Drosophila melanogaster: one gene and its partners. The protein of the gene in region 3 interacts with the protein of the main gene of each other region in a pairwise test. Each region holds a gene or a part of one and is shown on either strand. Other genes may lie near its edges.

Region 1 (3,890 bases), 4.6 Mb from region 3:
AATGAATGTATCTGTGGGATACATCTGCATGGAGAGAAAGACTCGACAAATAGAGTTGGCCGAAAAGCAAAAGGCGGCTATAAAAAGCGTTAACAAGACAACAACAGCAATTGGCGAACAATAAAATACACTTAGCAGCCGAAGAAGAAGCGAATAACCACTAAATTGCTGTTAACAATTCTTGGAGTGCCCAGCCAAGCCAGTCAGCAAAGGCAAATACATTTTTCTGTCTGCCAAAAGTGGGTCAGCAAGAAAAGCCTCCCCCTTTCCATTTTATAGAAGTCTTCAATGCCAGCCGCAAGCGTTTTCATCAGCCAACTCTGCAAACGCAAACTCTTTCTCTCGCGTGTTAGTTAGATTTTAACTACCGTTTAAGAAGTATCGTACGGCTACTCTCAACTCTTCGCAACTGAACTCCACTCCGCTCCGCTCCTCTTGGCGTCCATTAATCACCTTCAGTCGGTGCAAAGAGTCAATTCACCAGCGAACAGCCTGCCAAATGTGTTCCACGCAACTGCTCAATCTCCGTATCTTTTGGGTGCCTGGAACGAGGCGCACATTTGGCTTTTATCACTCGATCCGCACCAAATAAACTACAAAGCCCCTAACGCGAAAACAGAGAAAAACGTATTTGTGTTCCAGATTTTGGCGCATTTACGGCTTGCGTAAAAATTTCCGATCGGACCAGACCGAAGAAAATTCTGTTGCAGCTCTTAATGGGTTGTTGGATACAAAAACTCGGCGGGACATGAGAAAATAATCCGCACACACTGCAAATACTGCGAATAAATCACAGAAGTTGTAAACTCATTTGAAGTGCATTTGATTTGAGACAAGTAAGTCAAATATGATTCCTTTTACAAGCATAAACATTTTATTTATTCCCGTGCGATATCGATTGAGCTCTTTCCAAAATTTAACCGTGGTAGATGTGGTGTCCATAGGTGGGAACAGCGTAGGACTTCAGCACAGGGACATGCTGAACCACTGGGACATTCTTCACCACCGGAACGTGCTGCACCACTGGAACAGATTTCACCACGGGCACCACTTGGGCTACAGGAACCACACCGTAGGAGGGCTCAATGTAACCAGGAGCAGCAAAAGCCATTGCTACCAGGGCGAAGATCACAGCGATCTAAGGAGATATTTTGTAATATGAAAAATCACAAGGATTTACTTTATAATTTCGTGAACTTACAATGCGGAACATTTTGGTATTTTCTTAGTAATTTACAAACTTGACTTGGAGATATTGTCACTTGGATGCTTGTAGGACGACTGGTGATGCTGACCAATGGATCAGTTACTTTATATAGCCAAAAATCACTTCAATAACAACTTCTAAATGGGCAAACGTGTTTGGCCATAATTCTTCTGTTTAATTGAGAGAATGGATTTATCAGTTGACCCAAAGGTGCCTCATATAGGTCTTTTTTTGTGGACATGACCTTGGTTCTTGGTGATCATCACAAACGCGTGAAGACGATCGATATAATGACAATGGTCTTGGAAGTAAACAATAATAAGCACACGGATCTAAAAACAGCAAACAATTGAGAAGTCATTGAATGGGGATTATGTCCAAAGGTTAAGCAATAACGACCGATAACGGGAAGTTCGCCGCTGGAGATGGTTTCATACCAAATAGAATGCGCATTATTCGAAGATACCAAATTTAAGATAATTAAACTGGTTTGGCGCGTGGCGTTCGAACAGAAGTCATTTGTGGGCTATTTTCGGCTGAGGTGCTAACTACTATATATAATGATTCCACGGATGGTCAATCAACAACAGTCGTCCGGCTAACACAAACGTTCGATAACCACAAGTTAAAGTTTTTAACTCACAACAAAATACCAAAATGTTCCGCATTGTAAGTTCACGAAATTATAAAGTAAATCCTTAGGATTTTTCATATTACAAAATATCTCCTTAGATCGCTGTAATCTTCGCCCTGGTAGCAATGGCTTTTGCTGCTCCTGGTTACATTGAGCCCTCCTACGGAGTGGTTCCTGTGGCCCAGGTGGTGCCCGTGGTGAAATCTGTTCCGGTGGTGAAGCATGTTCCAGTGGTGCAGCATGTTCCGGTGGTGAAAAATGTCCCAGTGGTTCAGCATGTCCCTGTGCTGAAGTCCTACGCTGTTCCCACCTATGGACACCACATCTACCATGGTTAAATTATTGTAGCACAACCCCATTAGAAATTGACCCGACATAAATAAATTGCCAACCAAATCGAACTTATCTTTATTTTCTGGTATAGAGCGAGGATAAACTTTTGGGTCATGCCATCGGGACTGGCTTAATTTTTATACTTACAATTAAATGATGCATGTTTTTTCCTACATCAAGGAAATAATTCTCGTAAAAATTACGTACCCAACACCCTTTCGTGGTCAGCACTTTCCATTTTACACATTTTATAGCAACTAAAGTTGTCCGCAGACCCCAGTGGTTTCCATGGCTGACTGATTATTTTATGGGACATTTTGTAAAATTTAATTTCACCTCGCTCATTTTGTTATTTGCGAATAGTCACACATAAAGTCGTTAACAAGGCGGCAAGCTTCCAGGGGAAATTTCTTCATTAATCAGCGGAATAAAGTGACGCCTCTAAACTGCAGCTGCATCTTCTCCACCTCCCCCCCTCCCACCACCCCTTACCCGACAGACGTTGCCATTAAAACCCAATCCCAGCTCGTCTTTAATTTGAGCCAATTAAAGTGGCGACAAAGCAAAGCCTTACAGCCCGCTTCAAACACTCTGAGCCAGCCGCCTTTCCCTTTGGCTTTTTCCCCGGTTGCGGTTCGATCTCGTGTCGATGATGAACCTGAATGGATCGTACATTAATTTTTCATTGTTTTTTATTTGGGGCTTTATTCGGGTTATTAAATCGCTGGCTAGAAAAACTCTCAAGCGATTTGGTAAAACAAAAAAAAAAAATAACATCGAAATAAGCAGACAAAAATATAAAAATAAATTGTGTTCGAAAGTCAATTTTGTGAACAGGCTTTTTGGGCCTTTTTTGTGGCAGGTTTTGTTTTTTCTATTGCCAAAAGATTTATTGTTAGCGTTTTCTTCTTAATTTTCCCCACATTTCATTTCGGTTTCGATTTTCAGTTTCAGCTTTGTTTTTCAGCCTGCTGCTACCATTCAGGTTCCACTTCCTTTTCAGTTTAAAGTAAATTTCTCGGCCAGAGTTGGGCAATTTTATTACTCTATTAGGGGGAAAAAATAGTAATTTGCTGCTCGATTATGACGAAATCATTTGATCCGCTTCACATGTGACGTCGTCTTTTTGTTGGGCCTGTCTCTCCTTTTGTGTGGTTTCTTTTTTGTCTGTGGTAATGACTTCATCGTCGCCCAGCTACCCAATCCTATCCTATCCGCAGCTCATTTGATAAATTATCCAACAGTTTGTAATAATATTTTTCGTAGCCGCTCAGGGGGAGTTGCCTTCGATGCTTTTGTTTTCATTTTGTTAATTATCCGCTATAATTGTTAATTTAAATTATGAAGGAAAGTGAAACTCAATTGAACTTGAGAGACCCCCCCCCCCCCCCCTTCAGTCCATCTCTATCTCGTGTGTTATTCTCTTGTGGATTTGGGCGTGTTTCCGATCGATGAAGCAGAGAAATGTTTTTCGATCGTATTGGATTTGGAGTTAGATTCGCCCCAGTCAGCCGTTTTAGCCGTATTAACAAATTGTTTGTTTCAATGTTTCGATAATAGTGTAATCAAGTTACAAATAGCGTAGCTCTTTTTAGTGCAATTTCAAACACTCGTAGCTGCTTTTAGTACCTCGCGACCTTTAATCAACACCTCAACTGCTAAATGACTGCACGTGACTGCACATTACAATTCAGTTAGGCTCAAGTTCAACTGAAC
Region 2 (8,958 bases), on a different chromosome or scaffold from region 3:
TTTAAACCATTACTCCTTTGCAATCGGTGAGTAATTCCACATATATATTTCGATATTCTATTTCTGACCAAACCCTTTTTTATTACACAGTTACATTCTAACAAATGACTGTGACTAATACGGCAAAAATTCCAATTCCGAATAGCCAATATATCAGTTCTAGGGGACTGATAAAACAGAATTGCTAAATCCACACACTACCACAGGTTGTAAACTGAATCACGCAAGACTCCGTGCTCCCGCTGTCCGCCGTGTCCACACCTATATTCGTGTGCATACATATGCGTATATTCACTATGCCACCACGCACCTGTTTTGTTTGCCGAAGCGGAAAACAAGAAACCGTTAGCTTTTTAATGCCTCAACCTGGGGCATTATCTTATCGGGAAGAACACAGAGCGAGAGAGAGAGAGAGAGAGAGAGAGGGGCTTACAGCACCTACACCTGAATGCCCGAACACAGGTTATCGAGCAAATATTGGTAACTAAACCAAACTGAAACCCACTGAGCTGTTCTGATAAGATAGTCAACGCGGCGTATGAGTAATGGGGTGGAACTGAATCAGCCCAGGGACAACGAAACCTACTCACCCCAATTGTAGCCGCTGTTGTCCACGTCGTACAGCTCCCCCAAATAGTCATTTGGCATGATGAGGGCTCCGAACATTTTCTCGGGCTTCAGTCCCGCGACGGTGAGGATATCATCTGTTCCCCGACTGCTGACATGCACCACGGGAATCAGAGTGGGCTTCTGCAGGGCCAGTGGTTTGGTTTTCGGGTTGTCCGCTTCCGCTTTTTTGGGAGCGGGCGTGGCCTTTGGAACCTCAACGAATTCCGCCTGAGCTTTGGGCTTAGTCACCTTGACCGGCTCCGGAACTGCATTGATTATTTGATCCTCGAACTCCTCCGTCGATATATTCTCGTTAGCCAGGACAAAGGCCATAAACCCGCAGGCCAGCGCACAAACCACAAACAGTTTGAAACGCATGTTCACTTGATTTCGATTTGTCACTTAATTGGTAATTCGTTTTTTCGTTTCACTGCTAAAAGAAAAACACAAAGGCATCAATTAGGCATCCACAATAAAAGTATCACTCAATAAGCACTCAATTCATGCGAATTTGTACACTATTTTTCCTCTGATATCCTCATTTTCTAACAATTTTCACTTGATGACATCATCAGTTAAGGCAATGGCTTATCAGTTCTCTTATCACTTGTCACCAATTTTCAATTTTAACTTTAATTACCAGGCAGGAAAACACGTTCGTTGCAGCGAGCCGCTCAGCTAAGACTGAAGTTAAGTTAACTCTAACGGCCCGATCGGGGCGTTGCCAAAACTCAGTTCACCTGTCGCCGTCTACTCGATTGTGAAACATTGCCTTATCGGCCAGATAAAGCTAGGCATATCTTATCAATGGAATACTACGCACCGATAACGCATTCCTTCTTCGGCCCGCTTGGCTTTTTCGGGAAGCTTCACTCTCTTCTCTGTGCTCCAAATTTACCAACCTATTTGTTTATGCCCATTCGTGGGACCGTTACCTATATTTCTCTCTGTTGACAATGGTCTCTGGCAGATTTGTGATTCACTTCCATTACAGTTAATCATACTCATGACGCGGCCATTTTGTGAAAAGCTGAATGGGCTGTAAAGCCTAAACATGTATGTGTGTGATGCGAAATTGATGAGAGCACGCTTCCGGTTTAATTATAGACAATGACCCATTACCGACCATTAATAGGCATTTCCGATGAAGCTTTAGAGTTATGAATATCAGCCGCCCGTAAAAAAGCCTACTGATGGATTTCATTAGGACATGAAAGTGTCATGGTCCTCATTAATGAAGAAATCAAGTGCAGAGTGGGGAACTCCAAATTAATAAAATCAAAGCGTTTTGAGGATCAACTTGTGTGACTAAAAGGGTATTATAAAACAATAATGCAGATAAACATTGCTATAATAAAAATCGAAGGATAAGATATATTTTTATAGTGGTTATTGTTAGGGGAAAATTGGTGTTGAAAATGTACCCCATATATCTTTTAAACAAACGACAGCATAATTATGTATAAAATATATATATAAATATAAAAATGTTTTTAACTATGGTACAGTTCATTTCAATATATTCCTGAGCATATGTATGACTAATTTAATGGATACAACTCTTCCCTCTCTCAAAGGCAATCCATTATTGGCCAACGAACCTGTTGCATTATCAGCTTTAGTTAACTGATAAGAAACTATTTTGAAATTCATTATCATCTCATACATGTGTTTAACAAGCGCTCTGTTAATTAACAGCGATCATATCACACCACCAGCCCAAAAGTAGGCACTACTTTTCGGAGGGATTTGTTCTCTCCCGGTTTATTTCCCAGCTTATCAGCAATTTAGTTTATTTGGAATATGGGGGTCCCGGCTTCAAACAAAAGTGAATTGCCCTTAGTTCTGGGTCGAACGGCGGCGAGAAGAGACCGCGATTTCGCTGCGAACTTATCAGGTGATCCGGCATACACGCCTCGTTTTTAATCCATCAGCATGCTGCGTTATCTGGCGCTTTCGGAGGCGGGAATCGCAAAACTGCCACGCCCACAATCGCGGTGCTATCACAGCGAAAAGGGCGTTTGGGGCTATAAGCCGATTGCCCAGCGTGAATTTCAAGGTACGGTTGTAAACAAGTGTGTTGCCAAGACTTCAATAAAAACCTCATCCGTCGAGATAACCATCGCATCGATAAGAGTCTTTCGGGATCAAACATTCATATGAATGGGCAGTGGAAATCTACCCAAGCAAAAAGAAAAACCGACGAAGTGACATTGTGTGCGTGTGTGTGCGTTCGTGTCGGATTTTCCAGCCGGCTATTTATCAGCGGAATTCAAGCAGCTGACCCACAACAATCCCCGCAGAAACTGCAATAAAACAACAGCCTGAACAAGAGATCAAGTGCAAATTGCTGTGGGTGAATTCGAAAACCAGTTTAAAGAAGATATATCATTTGTATACCCTGTAATCGGAGGGTATATACGGGAATACGTATGGATACCTAGGATTATTTTCACTAACTTCAGGTTTAACTTAATTTCGCAAAATATTTTTTAAATTGAAGTTCATTGTTTATGCCTCTCATACTATCGAGAAAGAACAGCTCCTGTTGACTGGTGGAATATTTTTTATGGTTTTAATGTTACCGTCTTTCCTGTTACCTACCCAAGCTAATCTCCACGTTCTCAGCTTATCACATGTTTTCACTCTGAAATCTGATAAACCCGAAATATATGGCGCTACACCCAGTACCCCGAATTTATAATTAGAATGAGGAGATTGTGGCAGACCCCCCGTGCAGTGCACTAATTAAGTGAAGAGAGGCGGATGTCCAGTGCAGAGATACTATATCTTTTCCCAAAACGCACGGCAGGGAGTCCAAAAAGGACCCGGCTAAATATCAAAGCCCGGCAAACAAAGGACCCCAAAACGGGAGCTTCTTTGTGCTTGTCCTGCATCCGTTGCGTACACAATTGGGGCTTATCGACACCATGGCCAACAGACACCAGTCACCAGTTGGTAGTTGGTAGTTGGATAGTCTGCCAGGAGCCTTTGACTGGGCACCAGAGGAAAGCCTTCAACGCTTGACCATGTGACATCAGGCGCCTAGGATGATGCACATAGAGAAAATCAAGTCTAGGATTTACTCAGGCTTTGGAAAAGTATGTTAGATATTCTAAAGCAAACCCAATTGACCAGTATTTTGAATTATGGTAAAGCGTACTAAAACTGACTTTAAGCGTTAGTTTTGCCTCAGTGTAGTATCGGTATAATTCGCCTTGTTTGCCGTTCGTCCTTTGGCTGCATTTCTGTCAGGGCAATCATTATCCTTGGCAAAGGACGCGCCGCTGTGCTCCAATAATATTTACACGCTCAAGCTGAAATGTTGTCACCGCAAATACAATTCATCATACACCCTGTGCTCCTGTCCAAGCGACCTACTCTTTAACATTAAATTGATTTATGGCCGAAATGCCGTCGAGAAATTGCATAAATTTCTGAGGACGACTTGGGGTCGGTCTAACTGGCAAATGCCAGCTGTCCCACGGATTTCGAATTTTCAGGGTACTGTAATCGAGTGATATGCGTCATCGCATATAAATCCTGTAAGCAGGATAACACTTTAACACGTAAACACCTAAGCAGCCAACGAGTTGTCAATGGCTCAACCAGGGAATAAAATATCCCAACAAAGGCAATAAAAACAACAATCGTAATTTCTCATATGTAGCACGAATTGCTTGCCATCGGGAAGCACAAACGTCGTGGTACACTCTATAGTTTTAAATTCGATGTAAATCTGCTAACTGGAATAACTAACGATATATGTATATGATAAGAATATATGTTCTGCACGCAATCTCAATAAGCCCCATTTAAATCTTTAGCCAACTCCTTTCGACATTTTCCACTCGAATTCATATCGAATGCCAAATATTTGCCGGGTAAATACGATTCAAAAGTGCACATACCTGGCAGCTAGTCCATCAAAGTGAAGCAAAGCGTAAAAAGCAAAGAATAAATATCATAAAAGTAAAAGGCCAATAAATTCAAAAGGCCGAACAACGTGGCAACGGGGCGATGTGCACGTGAATCCTTTTTTAAATAATTTATAACGTGGGGCGAAATTTATATTGTTTACGCGTGTGTTTCAGTGGCCGAGGATGTGCGGGCCTCAAGGAACTCGCAGGCCAACGTCTATCGCTTTGTGGAGGCCTTTCGCCAGCATGGGCACAAATTGGCAGCCGTAAATCCCATCAGCATCAGGACGAGGTAGGAGGCTCCAGCACCCAGTACCCAGCTCCCAGCTCCCATTTTCCCATACCCCTCCCGAAATCGTCCTGGCAAATGTCATATTTTATTCTCCCTTTCTGGCTGCTTTGTAATATCGCCCCGGCTGCGTGTATTTGTCTTGTGAATTTTCGTGGCTACTGGACACAGCCAGCAGGAGCTGCAGGAATTAAGTCCCGCATTTTATGGACTGCAGACACAGGAGCCGGTGCGCACCGATGGCCTTTTAAGTGGTCCGCAGGTGGCCCACAACGTCGCCCAGCTGGAGCAGCTGCTCAAGGACATTTACTGCGGCCGCTCAACCAGCGCCGAGTTCTCCTACGTCGAGGTAGGTGTCCCGTCCTATCGCATCTCATCCCATTCCACCGCATCCCATAAACATTGCGTGCTGATCCCGCTGCCTCATTTTCGCAGGACATCGAGGAGCGTGAGTGGCTGGCCCGGAACTTTGAGACGCTGGACCAGCAGCAGCTGGGAAAAAGCGAGCGCTGCGAAATCGCCGAGCTGTTAATTAAGTCGCAGGCCTGGGACAATTTCATGGCACTCAAGTTTCCCACAGTCAAGCGATACGGAGGCGAAGGAGCCGAGTCCATGCTAGCCTTCTTCTGGCAACTGCTCCGTGACAGTGTCCAAGGTGAGTTTCCCACGCAATGCCATCATGAAGTTATTTGGATGCATCACTCCGTTGAACATCGATTTGGCAAAGCAACATTCATAAACTTCTACGATTAAGTCCATTTTATTCCAAATTTCAAAGTTTCATCCCATATTTATGACATGATTTATACGGTCTCGTGCGTGTGGACCGCTCCTTAAACGCGATTAGCAAAACGCGGAATCGCGCACCCATTTCAAGACGCCGAACTTTGTCTCGTGACAGTCCGCAGAGATGGTGAATCTGCTCCTCGGAATTTGAGCTAGCCCACCTGAACTCTAGCCAGCATTCCAAACTTCCTTCCCACAGGCATGCTCACATATCATCGCACGCTTACTTAACCCTAATCTGCTTTCTCAAAACTTTTCCCTCTCGCATGCTACCCCGAAAAACAACGGAAACGACGACAACGATAAAAAAAAATTATACAATGGAATGACAGCGAACATCGAGCACGTGGTCCTGGCGATGCCCCATCGAGGAAGGACTCCGCTGCAGGCGGCGCTCCTCAACATGCGGCCGGCGAAAGTTTTCCGCAAACTCAGCGGCGCATCCGAGTTTTCCGAAGACATCGAGGCCATGTCCGACGTCATAAGTCATTTCCGTAAGTGAAACTTTGCCGGGGCGTTCGGTGGGCTTACAGGTATAGTAGGGTATTCTGGTATATTCGTTTATTACACGGACAAGAAGGATCTGAAGTTGAATTGACCGTAAAATAGAAACAGGAGAAAAAATGTAACATATAACTTATTTATAGTCAATTATTTATCCCAAAGTATTTAGTACTAGGTATGGATTTTAATATCCTGGGTATTTCATAGTCTTCATTTGAACTAAAATCCCTTCATCCCATCCTTTTCGTGTGCGCCAAGCAGTCTTAGCCTTGCTGGCCTAAGCACACACGGCGTATGCTTAATTTAATAAAACCTGAACCGAATCGCACACAGATGTTTCCGAGCAGCTGAAAATACTGGGCAAGAAGCTGAGCTTCAGCATGGTGCGGAATCCCTCCCATCTGGAGGTAAGCCGACACACGTCAAACTTTGAAATTTGATTTCTAATTTAAGCATCGTGTTCCTCCTTTATCCCACTTCTAGGCGGCCAATCCTGTGGCCATGGGAAAAACGCGATCGAAACAGCAAGCCAGAGGAGAGGGTGCCTTCGGGGATGGCAGTCAGCCCTTTGGAGAGCACGTGCTCAACGTAATCCTTCATGGTGATGCTGCGTTCGCCGGCCAGGGAATCAACCAGGAGTGCCTCAACATGGCCTATGTGCCTCACTTCGAGGTGGGCGGAAGTCTGCACCTGATTGTCAACAACCAGGTGGGATTCACCACGCCCGGAGATCGAGGACGATCCACTGCCTACACCTCAGACTTGGCCAAGTCTATTCAGGCTCCTGTGTTCCATGTCAACGGCGATGATCCCGAGGCTTTGGCCAGGGTCACAAGCTTGGCCTTTAGGTACCAGAGGGAATTCCGCAAAGACATCTTTATTGATCTGAACTGCTTCAGAAGGTGGGGTCACAACGAGCTGGATGACCCCACCTTCACCAATCCCTTGGTCTACAAGATTGTTCACCAGCGGGAATCGGTTCCGGACTTGTATGCCCAGCAGTTGGCCAAGGAGCAGGTTCTATCAGAATCGAAGGCCAAGGAGATGAGGGATGAGTACATGAAATATCTAGGCGAGGAGCTAGCCTTGGCTCCTGCATACCAGCCACCACCTTCCTACTTCGAGAAGCAGTGGACGAACTTTCAGTTGGCTCCCTCCAAGGAGCTAACCTATTGGGACACTGGCTTGGATTACTCACTACTTCATTACATTGGTCAGCAGAGTGTGACTTTCCCCGAAGACTTTGTAAGTTAGCTCAGATATGTGTATATATATATATTCTAAAGGTTTTTTCCTGGGTAACAGAACATCCATCCCCACCTGCTGAAAACGCATGTCAATGCTCGGCTGAAGAAACTGGAAAACGGAGTCAAGATCGATTGGTCCACAGCCGAAGCCCTGGCTATTGGGAGCCTGATGTACCAGGGACACAATGTGAGGATCAGTGGTGAGGACGTGGGTCGGGGAACCTTCTCCCATCGCCACGCCATGCTGGTGGATCAGCAGACCAACGAGATGTTCATTCCCTTGAACAGCATGGAGGGCGGAAACGGTGGAAAACTGGAGCTGGCTCACAGTATTCTGTCGGAGGAGGCGGTGCTGGGATTCGAGTACGGCATGGCCATTGACAATCCCAACAACCTGATTATCTGGGAAGCGCAGTTTGGTGACTTTGCCAATGGAGCACAAATTATAATCGACACCTTCATCGTCTCGGGAGAAAGTGAGATGGAAATAGCATCTTTTCTCCGTACTGATTTTAAAGAATTTCTTAACTAGCCAAGTGGATGGAGTCCAACGCCCTTGTGATGCTACTGCCCCACGGATACGACGGCGCTGCATCGGAGCACAGTTCCTGTCGCATCGAGCGCTTCCTGCAGCTCTGCGACTCCAAGGAAACATCCGCCGATGGCGATTCCGTCAACGTGCACATCGTGAACCCCACCACGCCCGCCCAATACTATCATGTGCTGCGTCGCCAACTGGCAAGGAACTTCCGCAAGCCCCTCGTGGTGGTGGCCCCCAAAACGTTGCTCCGTCTTCCTGCGGCCACATCCACGCACGAGGACTTCCAGCCGGGCACGCTCTTCCACAATGTCCTGGGTGAGTAATGGCTTCTGTTTATCTTCACGGACTCGAGGGATAGCGAGTGGGGTCATGGCATGACTAGGGTACTATGTCTCTGTCCCTAGGCAAATATGTAGAAAACTACTATAGTTAAATCTATTAAAAATACACCTCGTTGGCCAAAATAGTTATTGGCCACATACATAAAGGCAAACTAGCAATATAAACTTTTCAGATTTGCAAAGCACATAATTGACTTTTAATGCCACATATATCTTTTTATATGCTGTCCTGCTCCTATGAATTGTAAAAAGATGTTTACGTAAATTCAGGGTTATTATACTACGATATTAATCCACATTTTCTTCTTTACTTTCCCCTGTTATTACCCACCCCCAACGATAGGAGACACCATAGCGAAGCCTGAGCAGGTGCGCAAGGTCATCCTGTGCAGTGGAAAGCACTACTACACTCTCGCCGAGGAGCGGGAGAAGCGGCAGGCCTACGACACGGCCATTCTGCGCCTGGAGTCCCTGTGTCCTTTCCCCATCCAGGAGCTGCAGGCCCAGCTGGCCCAGTACGGCAACGTGCAATGTGAGTCCATCGTAAACTTAGGCCACAAAGTTGACCGGATCTGTATTTGCTATCGTTTTTATACACGAAAAAATATAACTAATATCTTTCTTGATATATATATTGTACCACTATATATATTTTCTCTGCGTGCAGCTTTTGTTTGGAGCCAGGAGGAGCATCGCAACATGGGCGCCTGGACGTTTGTGC
Region 3 (4,372 bases):
GCGCGTCGTCTGCAGGCCGAGGAGGAGGCACAGCTGCTGCAGGAAACCGCTGGCGGTCCAGTCGCCCAGGCAGCAGACTACCAGCTGCCAGTGGCGCCGACGGAAAGCGGACCGAATGGCGACTTTAATGGCATACTGCTGAAGAAGGTGGTGCCGGCGGACAATTCGTGCCTCTTCACCAGCATACGATTCGTGCTCAACGGGAAGGTGGACAACGAGGGCAGCGAAATGATGCGTCACATCATTGCGCAGGAGGTGGCCGCCGATCCGCAGAGCTACAACGACGCCGTGCTGGGCAAATCGAATGCCGAGTACTGCGCCTGGATACAGAAGGCGGATTCGTGGGGCGGCGCCATCGAAGTGTCCATACTGTCCAACTACTATGGCATTGAGATCGATGTGGTGGACATACAAAACGCCATTATCAATCGCTTTGGCGAGGACAAGAACTTTGGACTGCGTGTCTTCCTGCTCTTCGATGGCATCCACTACGATCCGCTGTACATGGAGACATCGCCGAGTGCTGCGCCGGCCACCATCTTCCCGGTGGAAGAGCTGGGCGTCTATCAGCAGGCCGAGCAGTTGGCCAACGAGGCGCAGTCCTCCCGCCAATACACCAATGTGGATAAATTCACGCTGCGCTGCATGCAGTGCGATGTCAGGCTGGTCGGCCAGGTGCAGGCCCAGGAGCATGCCAAGCAAACCGGACACAAGAACTTTGGAGAGATTTAATACGTCCTGATCTTCGGCACCGTCTACATTGTGGCATTCATGCTGTTCGCCTACTACCTGCTCACCACCTAGCCACAATCGCCGTGCGAGGAGTCATCTCATTAGCAGTACTACCTCCACATCACCGCCTACCTAAGTTATTAATTATTGAATTGAGCCCAGCCGCCTGTATTCATGTTAGTCCCCTTTTAATCCCTTTCGGAATGCAATAAAATATACCTTCATCTACACTAGGCAAGTCTTGGAGTTGGTACCTATATAGCTATAAGGTCAAGTTCCAGAAAGCTGTCCTGAATTCACAAGGCAACCAACTACGTACGTACTTTTTTACTGAGCGTCGAACAAAACCGAGGCTCTCAACTGTTCAATTACATTAAATTTAAAATAGTTATCTTAGGTCCAGTGCTAGGAAGCCCATGGTGGGGTCATGGCAGCGGGATTCTGGAGGTAGGACATCACCACCGCACTGACGCTCAACATAAAGGAGGAGAGCACCTGTTTGGCATCGTCGCTGGCCCGAGAACTGGCGAAACTAATGCAGGAGCAGTACAGCGCAAACCAGGCGCACCACTTGAGCTGTGTAGGTGGGTTACATACTGATAAATGCCAAGTCACTTGGTTGTAATCTTTGGGGTGTTATTACCTTCATCATCAGTCCACACATGGAGAAAATCATGCCCAGAATGTTCATGTAATCCGGCATCATGTCCTCGTTGGCGCCGCCGCTCTGGCCCTGGTTCTTGGGCGCCTTGTAGCGGTTGATCTTCTCCTTGCGGCGCGGATCCACGGTCATGTTCATTTTTAATTTATTTAATTTTCACCAATTTAATCGAAAAACCAGGTCAGATTGCAATGGATGTTTGCGTGGAATGTGAATGCCGTGCAGGTTGCTTACGTTCTTATTTGACTGGCATTTCGGACACAAGGTGGCAACGCCCCTTCATCAGCTGTTTCTTTATTTACACCGCCGCCACACGCACGTTTAAAATAGTTTTTTTTTAATTACATAAAAATCACAGAAAATTGCAACAGATAACATGGCTCTGCGGTTGATTAGCCGTTCAATGAGCTGCCACATACGTGGCTTGCAATTAAATGCCACCGGAAGACGGTTAAATAGTTACAACATCAGCCGGCTGGTTATTCTGCCTGCAACTTGGTCTTGCTCACAAAATCGCCTGCTGCACGTGAGGATTACGGATCAACAAGCCGGTTTGGAGACCAAACGAGAGGCCAACAGGAACCAGAATCCTTTTCGCGAAGAAGTTTTTGAAGAACTTATCACAGCAGCACCCAAGGAGCACCAGAAGTTTAAGCCAGAAAAGAAACCCAAAGAGAAGTCCACCAAAAAGGTGCAGGATTTTGGTGATCCGGACACCTTTGGCGATGCCAAGGTGGCTGCAACAGAAGACCCGGGTGATGTCGAGGAAGAGGAGTTCCTTAGCAATTCCACTAGGCGCTCAAAGAAACTAAAAGCCGTGGAATACGCCCGCCAAATTAAGGACCATCTTAAGGCGAATCGCCTAAATGAGGCCATCGCCGTGCTGGAGCAACGGATGCTAAAGGAGGATCGCGCCAAGCCGGACAAGTACATATACAATCTGCTGATCAGTGGCTGTGCCAAGGCGGGCTACACCCGCAAGGCCTTCTTCCTGTACACCAAGATGCGGCAACGTGGTCTTCAAGTCACCGGAGGAACCTACACTTCGCTATTCAACGCCTGCGCCAATGCTCCCTCCGTGAGCGATGGCCTGGCCAAGGCCCAAATCCTGCGGGAGAACATGCTCGAGAAGGGCTACGAACCAAATGTGAAAAACTACAATGCCATGATCAAGGCGTATGGAAGGTGTGGCGATGTGGACACCGCCTACATGCTGGCCGACGAAATGATGGAGCGCCAGCTGGAACTGAATGCAGATACATTCAACTTTCTGCTGCAGGCGTGTGCCAGCAACTCGGAGCACGGTTTCCGGCATGCTCTGCTGACTTGGCACAACATGTTGCAGCGAGGTATTAGCCCGGACTACTACAGCTTCAATGCAATGCTGAGATGTGCAAGGGATTGTGGCTTCGGTGACTTGGATTCCATGCGAGAGGTTATCGATAAAATTGCGCCCTCAGCTGCTAGAAAGAAACCAGTTCTCCAGTTGGAGAAAGGTCAGCAAGATGATTTACCCAGTGTGGAAGCCAACACAACTACGTTGCCTGCCCAAATTGAGGTGGCCACCACAGCGAGCGAGCTGGAACTGCCCAATCTTTTGCTGCCTCAGCCGCATCTGGGCAGTCTGGTGGCCCTGGAGGAGGTGACACGTCCACACGAACGTTTCTTGCTACTCGGCGGTCTCACTGGCTTTCTGGAGCACATGAAGCAGCACAACATTACACCGGACATCGAGACATTTACCGCAATGCTGGAGGTGATACCGCCCACAAATGCTGCCGAGAAGCAGCTGCTCACGTTTGTGCGCAAGATTGGCCTCAAGGCGGACATCGACTTCTTCAACATACTGATTAAAAAGCGTTCCATGCGCTTTGATTACGAGAGTGCCAAGGAAGTGCTCCTCATGATTCGCACGGCGGGTTTGCGGCCGGACATTGTCACCTACGGTGTGCTCGCTTTGGGTTGTCGCACGCAGGAAGAGGCTAGGGAACTGCTGGAACAGATGCATGTGGCGGGCATTAAGATGAACATGCCCATACTGGGGGCCATGCTGCGGCAGGGATGTGCTAACAAATCCTTTAGCTACGTCAACGAGATCATTCAGTTGAGTCTGGAGGAGGGCCTTAAGCCAAATGAAGCCTTCCTGCGGCACCTGCACAACTTTCACAGAGGTTGTGCGCGAGCCATTGATGCCAGAGTGAGTTTATAGCTAACTTTCTGCTAGTTAAATCATTAATTGTTGTGTATATGCAGCATCCATCAACCAAGACGGCAGCCTTTAAGAAGGGCCACTCTAAGTTCTGTGATAAATACCGCCTGTACTACGAGGAGCAGGGACTGTCCGGTCTCAAGCTGGAGGACGCCATTGCCAAGGTGAAGGAGCGCCCGTATGACCAGTTCAAGCTGCCGCCTGTCAACGGAATGGAACCACTCAAGCACGAGCAGCTCAAGCACAAAACGAAACAGCGAAAGTACATCAAGAAGATCAAGATACACGAGCTGAAGGATGACCCTCCCAAAGAGTCTTTGAAGAGGATAGAATAAGCTAAAAAGTTTAACTCCCAATAAAGTTTATTATTATTCGTTAACCAATCATGGTTCTTTTGCGTCCGCGTGCTCGCACCTCCTCGAACTTGGTGAGCACTGCCTGTTCGTCCTTACCGCACGCTGTGCGATAGGCGGCCAGGACGTGCTCGAAGATATACGGCTGTTCGCTGTGCGTACTGAGTAGCGCCCGCTCCAGGACGTACAGATCCACACCCTTGTCCTCGGTGGCCTGATTGTAGTGGCTCAAGCCGAAGTCAATCAGAATGACATCGTAGTCGCCACCCTTCGGATTGATGAGGATGTTAGATGTGGTGAGATCGCCATGTATAATGTGATTGGAGTGCATTTTCCCAATGATTTCACCGATCCGCGTGCAGAACTCCAGCAGACATTTCTTGGCTTCATCCTCCGTCTGAGTGGACACTGTTTCCT
Region 4 (5,890 bases), on a different chromosome or scaffold from region 3:
CTGTCTCCCGCGCAACTACCCGCTCAATCAGAGCCAATCAATCGACAACTTTGTGTTCCGCAAAATGCGAAATGTGAACAGAAAACAAATTACAAGTGCTCCGAATCAAACCAAGACGGAACCGATCAAATGGGTGGGCCCATGTCTCGCCCCGAATCTCACAGATTGGGAAGACTATAAAAATATAGTCACCTGCCTGCGCCGATCAATATGCAAATCCGAATCGCAACAGGCGATGATTTGAATGGGTTATGAGTGATTAATGATTAATGATCGGCGGACACTGGAGTCTAGATTCTACGTAGATATATATGTGGGCGTGGCACAGGAAGTGGAAGTGAGATTTGGCACCTTCTAATTTATGTATTCATTGCGGATCTAAGCCGTCAAAAAAGAAATGCTACGTCTCGTAAATCTTTAAATCAGTTAACTGAAACACATTTTATAATCTAACATATTGCCTACAAAGTGCTGAAATCCTCCCTCTCGAAACTAAAAACTTTGACACATTTTATTTAATGCCCACGCAAATCCTAAGGCGTATTTTATTTAATTGGTCTTATCTGTTCAAGCCTAAAATATATACATTAAAAATTTATTGAGCATATTGCCGGAAAAGTTTCTTGGCAGCTGCTCTTGCAAATTTGGCACAATTTGGGCCACCGAATCGTAAATGTGTAATAAACATTTTATGATACCTAAACAGGGAATTTATTAAATCATCGATTGTCGACGGCCAGTCACAAAGTATTAGATGATAATCGAGAGTGCTCTCGTGGTCTCGAATATCTGAATGCGATTGGACGGACATCTCGAGTGCCTTTGTTTGAATTTCGGCGCACCGACAGGTATGTATACATATGTACATACCTATAAATACATATCTAGAGACTTATATTTATTTGTGTAATTATGACACTGTTTTCACGCCAACTTGAGCAAACAAACAGCAGTAAGGCTCTTTGTCCGGGCCAAGTAGAATTCGACGAAGTCAGGCACAGTGGGCAGGGGCAAACAAAAGACCATAAATAAATCACATGCGGAGACAACACGGCGAAAAGCAGCTCATAAAAGTACTCATGCTTGTATACTTAATTATTGAACAGGCAGATTTAAATATTCTGTCCTGCGACAAGCCTCCTTTTGGCAGCCATAATCATTGTGCAATAATGACACAACAGCTAAGTGACTCAGAGACTTCCTCGTTCAAATCGCGTGGACGTGTCACTTAAAATCAATAAAAGTTAAAACCAGATGCGGCTATGCGTAGATACAAAATGGGAATTTGCATTTCCGTGTTGGTTTTTAAAATTATTATTTCCAATTTACCCCCCTTGCTGCTCGTTTTAATTTTCCCACTTCCATTTCTCCCCATCGCTTCCTGACACTTTCAATTGATTTGCATAGTCAGTCAGTCGCACTTTTAGGTGGGCCACCCCACCTTTATTTTAGATAGTACTGACTTCTAAATACATATGTAGGTATATAATTTTGTACTCGCTGTGTACCACTATCTATAAGTCGGGCGACATCACGTGGCCCCAAAATTATGCACACCCAGCGGACATCGTGATAAATGGCTTTGTCAATAAATATTATACGAACGCTTTGTGCCGACTTGCGTCGAAATAGAAGCTGAAATGTTAATCCGCATTAATTATGCTATCAAGTGTTGATGGAGCGTATCACAACTTATAGATAGAAATGCATTACACGTTCTGGCCCAAAACCTCACCAGATATATTCTTGCACGCCCAGTTTTAGTGTACATGTGTCAGTGGTTGGGCTTAACATTTATTCTAATTATACCTTGTTTTTGCCTGCTCATTTTACGCATTTTTTGAGCTATTTATAAAAAACATAAACAAGCGCACGAGAGAGAAGACCAAAGCCATCGATTATCTCGAGTGGGGCTGCCTTCCACTTTTCCACTTTTCTCGTCGGAAAACCAAAGCATCCGCAACAGTCGCCTTTCAGTCTGCCGGATTTTCGAAACTGGTTTGGATCTACATAGATAGGTTGGGAGTTTGGAAACTTCTTTAGGTATCAATAATTATTAATAATAATTACTTATTTAAGCTTTTATCTTCTTGTAAGTATGTATGTATGGTAAGTATACGAAATTTAAGATATATAAAATGGATACAATGGTTAAATACTGGAAACCTGGTTTAACTACAGTACTATCATCACTGTTTTCTAGGGGCTTTCTTTCCATTTTGCTGTTCAAACCGAGAAGGCAAATGAGCTGAGCTTTTGGGAGGGGGAGCAGCAACTGTTACTGTTTTATTTGGGATGTACGAACACGAACGCGAGTGCATTGGTGTACGTGCAATCATGGCTTTTTGTGCCGTTGCCCGATAATTCTCCACGCAAATGGCATGGAAGGGCCATAGACAAAATCAGAAAATCCGAAGAAAAAATCAGAGACGCCGGCGACTTTAGTTTTTTTTTTCGTAGCCATAAGCAGTAAATGCTGCTTCTTCCTCGGCTTATTGCCAGTGTTGTTGTTTTACTGTGCTGATGACCTTAAATTAGGCGTAGGTCTTTGCTTTTGTGTTCGCCGTATTCGTCATTGTTGGCCAAGTTTTTTTTTCATTGGTTTCTTTTGACGTGGTCAGCTGTTTTTTATATTTTTTCTTTGCTGCTTCCAGTCGTCGTAAGCAATAATAGGCACTAACAAAAAGATATTTCACGAATGTCATGACCTGCAGCTGAGGAATATAATAAACTAAGTTGCTTCTATTTCGCAGCTGGAAAGGCAAGCCAAATAAGCGACGAACAAAGAAAAAGCCAAAAGAATCTGCGAATAATGCCGATTAGAACGGTTTACTAAGCCAAGCGACTAAAATAAAACCGTTCGCTTCACCAAGAATCCGAAAAAACCGCAAGCCGCGCCTAAAGCAATCGCAAAACAGAATGGCGAAGGAGAGAAGCAGAGAGACGAAATTAAAGCCAAGCTGGGCCAAAAATTAAATTGCAAGCGCAGCCATTAATTACGATTATTTTGCATCCATTACCATTTGCATCACAAATGGTTGCAAATATTTCTATACCTTTTTTTAATTTGTTGTCTTTCAACGAGGTTTGGCACAATTGCTTTCCTTTGATTGGTTAGTCACATTTCTCATTCGTATTGATTTCACAGTATTGGCACTCGCGTACACTTATATTTTCAATTATACTTGTATATTCTGTGGACATTTGTGGTTGAATTAGTATAATTATAATTACTTTTATGCACTCGGAATTTTTGGGAGTCCGAGACTCAGCGAAAATTTGGTCAATTGTGAGAATGCCCCGCGTAATTTACTTTAAATTAAATGCCTTGAAACATGTATGCTTTCGATTAATTGCTTGCTTGCAAGGGACTTTTTGAACTCAAATGACCTTAATGTTAAACTCAATTTTGACAGGGCGTTAAATTTAAGCCATTTAAAACAAAAGTGGGGGGCAATGTTATTTACAGTTGCATTAATATTTTTTGCAGAAAAATCTCGCTCTCACTTAAAAAACTCTCGTGTATATGCTGTTATAGCGAATTCCCGAGCACGGATGTTAAATTAAACAACTTAATATATTTCTTTCGCCAGGAAAACGGACACCAATGGCCGAATTGCAACGGACAATCGCCAAATGAAATGAGTGCAGAAAAATAATTTGCGGACTGCGTTGGTCGGCGTCGCACAAACAGTCGCACACGAGTCGAACATATTTTTAAAAATAATTTTACAATATTTATCGCCGATGCTCCACATACATATGTATGTAGTATATCTGTGCTATATCTTAGTATCAAGCACTGACTTTGAGCGCGCGCGTTCTGTTATTTGTGTTCCGTTTTCGTTTCGGCTGATTCCGATTTTGTGGGAGCTACTTGCGTTGCGTTCGGTGCAAATGGAAAACTTAAACTGATCGAATCGATCCACAAAAAAGTTGTCTGCTTACCGATGTTTAGACACATGTTGCCAGCGAGAGCACATGTTGCGGGGCAACATGCACGATACTCTAACTTTATGAAGCGAACAGAGTACATTTGTATAAATGTTACAAGCAATATGTCCATATGTCGTGTCTCGCGGGGCAGCCACATCCACATACACATACACATCCACATGTGCTGCAACAAACTCGTTTTTGTTTTTGTTGCAGGCCAAAAACCTAAACCTGCTTGAGTTTGGCTTATTTCCGTTTATTTCCACTTCCACTTGGCGATGTTTGGACACATGTTGCCAGCGAAACGTACGACTGCCGATTGATTTTAATACACTTTCCAGGAGTGTTGACACCATGGCAGAGGATCTTGAAAGATACTCTAACTTTATCACAGTTGAACAGTAGATAGACAGAGTAGATAAGTTACAAGTAATAAAATGTAACTAATTAAAATCGTTCAAATGGGTTCAGTTCGATTATTTAGTATTTGTAGCAGTGCTAGATACCATCTATATCATCATCTAATCCGAAAAGGGTATCAAAGTTTCGGTACGTTTCCCATTCGATTTGTTGCTTCTAATGCTGGGGCGCATGTGCAATGAACTTGTTTTGAATTGCAATTGCTATTATTTTTTGGAGGTTAGTCAGCTGCGGCGACTTTGTAATTTCATTTAAATTACTCATACGCCATGTGACGCCGCTGTAATTATTTGATTTCGCTCCCAGCTCCTCGGCGGCAAATGCATTTCCTCAACTTTAATGTAGGTCACTGTTGAGGGGGTGAAAGTGGTACAATTATCTGGCCAACCCCCTGCCACCTGTGTTTTTCACCTGACAAGGAAATTACCGCCAAGGCCGCAGCAATTGCCCAGAGAATTTGCCCTAAGGTGAACTGCATTTCAACGCGGAGAAACAGAAAAAATAGAATTTACAATCCGACCTTGGGCATTTCTTCCATTTAGCTTGCAACCTCTGACTTTTTCCTCTTTCTTTGCCTCATTTAAGACGCATGACTGGGCTCGAATTGCGAATTATGCAAATTTCAAAGTACGCAACTCGTCGAAATCAGAAAAAGTGCAACATCATTTAGCTGCCGCTCGTTCTCCGTCCCGTTCGCACCCTCCATCTTCACCCCCCCCCCCCCTCTGACTATTTACAGTTTTTCGGACTCGGACGATTACAATTTTCAGCCTTCAATATTATTACACAATCATAAATTGTCTGAACTAAAATGTAAATGTTTTGAATGCGCCTTGGGGGCCACTAAAAAACGCAATCGCATGTATTGCCAGCGCTATGACTAAATCTATGACTATGGTTATGCACATGGCTATACCTATGGCTAACGCTATGGCTATAAGCATAGCTTATCAGGGTCTCTAATCAAACCAGTCGCAGGTGAGGTAGGAATCATACAACACCACCTTCGCAAAGTGTAGAAGCAATTTCTAAGTTTTTGAATAATTCTAGTGGGTGAAGTTTAAGATATTTCGAAGTAAAGTATGAGGTAACCAATGTTACCAATCGGAGGTTTATCAACCTGTTTAAAGAATCTTGACTTTAAACAGCCAACTCATTGCTTTCAACACGAACTCAGCTCCGAATGTTAATTGGCTCTATGGCCATAAAGAATTGACAGTGTAGTGTTTTGGTTTTGCTATTGGCAAAAGTAAAGACAAACCTGTAATTAGCCATTGGTGCTATTGAACTAGAATAAGCCAACTAACGCCACTCCAACTTTATTTTGAAAAAATGTTGTGTTTGTGAAAACTCACCTTTTATATTTCTTCTCGTCCTGCAAACAACTATCTTATTTATACCCTTGATTAGCATTCAGGGGGGTTGAGTTTTCTCCGGGTGATTTCCATAAAAAGAAACTCTCTTTTGGCTGTTGAACAGTAGTGAAAATACTCCCTTTTAAGCAGCTTCATTTAAATAACGAATGGCAATTTCG

Evidence for each region.
Region 1: the proteins of CG10674 (region 3) and CG34267 interact in a two-hybrid assay, tested with the Drosophila melanogaster proteins (one large-scale study listed by BioGRID).
Region 2: the proteins of CG10674 (region 3) and CG1544 interact in a two-hybrid assay, tested with the Drosophila melanogaster proteins (one large-scale study listed by BioGRID).
Region 4: the proteins of CG10674 (region 3) and mtd interact in a two-hybrid assay, tested with the Drosophila melanogaster proteins (one large-scale study listed by BioGRID).

Annotation. Positions count from the first base shown.
Region 1 is NT_037436.4:499,161-503,050, forward strand, and holds CG34267 (uncharacterized protein), read right to left. Parts: upstream 1,292-3,890; 5' UTR 1,214-1,291; coding exon 1,202-1,213; intron 1,139-1,201; coding exon 917-1,138; 3' UTR 854-916; downstream 1-853. Other genes in the region: CG34268 (uncharacterized protein), read left to right, coding at 1,865-1,876, 1,940-2,179.
Region 2 is NT_033777.3:31,194,468-31,203,425, forward strand, and holds the start of CG1544 (uncharacterized protein), read left to right. Parts: upstream 1-2,448; 5' UTR 2,449-2,544; coding exon 2,545-2,668; intron 2,669-4,703; coding exon 4,704-4,821; intron 4,822-4,989; coding exon 4,990-5,167; intron 5,168-5,253; coding exon 5,254-5,473; intron 5,474-5,936; coding exon 5,937-6,098; intron 6,099-6,441; coding exon 6,442-6,515; intron 6,516-6,591; coding exon 6,592-7,353; intron 7,354-7,413; coding exon 7,414-7,831; intron 7,832-7,887; coding exon 7,888-8,211; intron 8,212-8,580; coding exon 8,581-8,769; intron 8,770-8,904; coding exon 8,905-8,958. Other genes in the region: mesh, read right to left, coding at 591-987.
Region 3 is NT_037436.4:5,134,703-5,139,074, forward strand, and holds CG10674 (uncharacterized protein), read right to left. Parts: upstream 1,591-4,372; 5' UTR 1,532-1,590; coding exon 1,376-1,531; intron 1,317-1,375; exon of another isoform or gene 1,309-1,316; coding exon 1,138-1,308; 3' UTR 1,046-1,137; downstream 1-1,045. Other genes in the region: Yod1 deubiquitinase, read left to right, coding at 1-732; CG4611 (uncharacterized protein), read left to right, coding at 1,770-3,590, 3,647-3,937; Tcs5 (Threonyl-carbamoyl synthesis 5), read right to left, coding at 3,978-4,372.
Region 4 is NT_033777.3:5,319,932-5,325,821, forward strand, and holds the start of mtd (mustard), read right to left. Parts: upstream 3,917-5,890; 5' UTR 3,508-3,916; intron 3,195-3,507; 5' UTR 3,057-3,194; intron 1-3,056.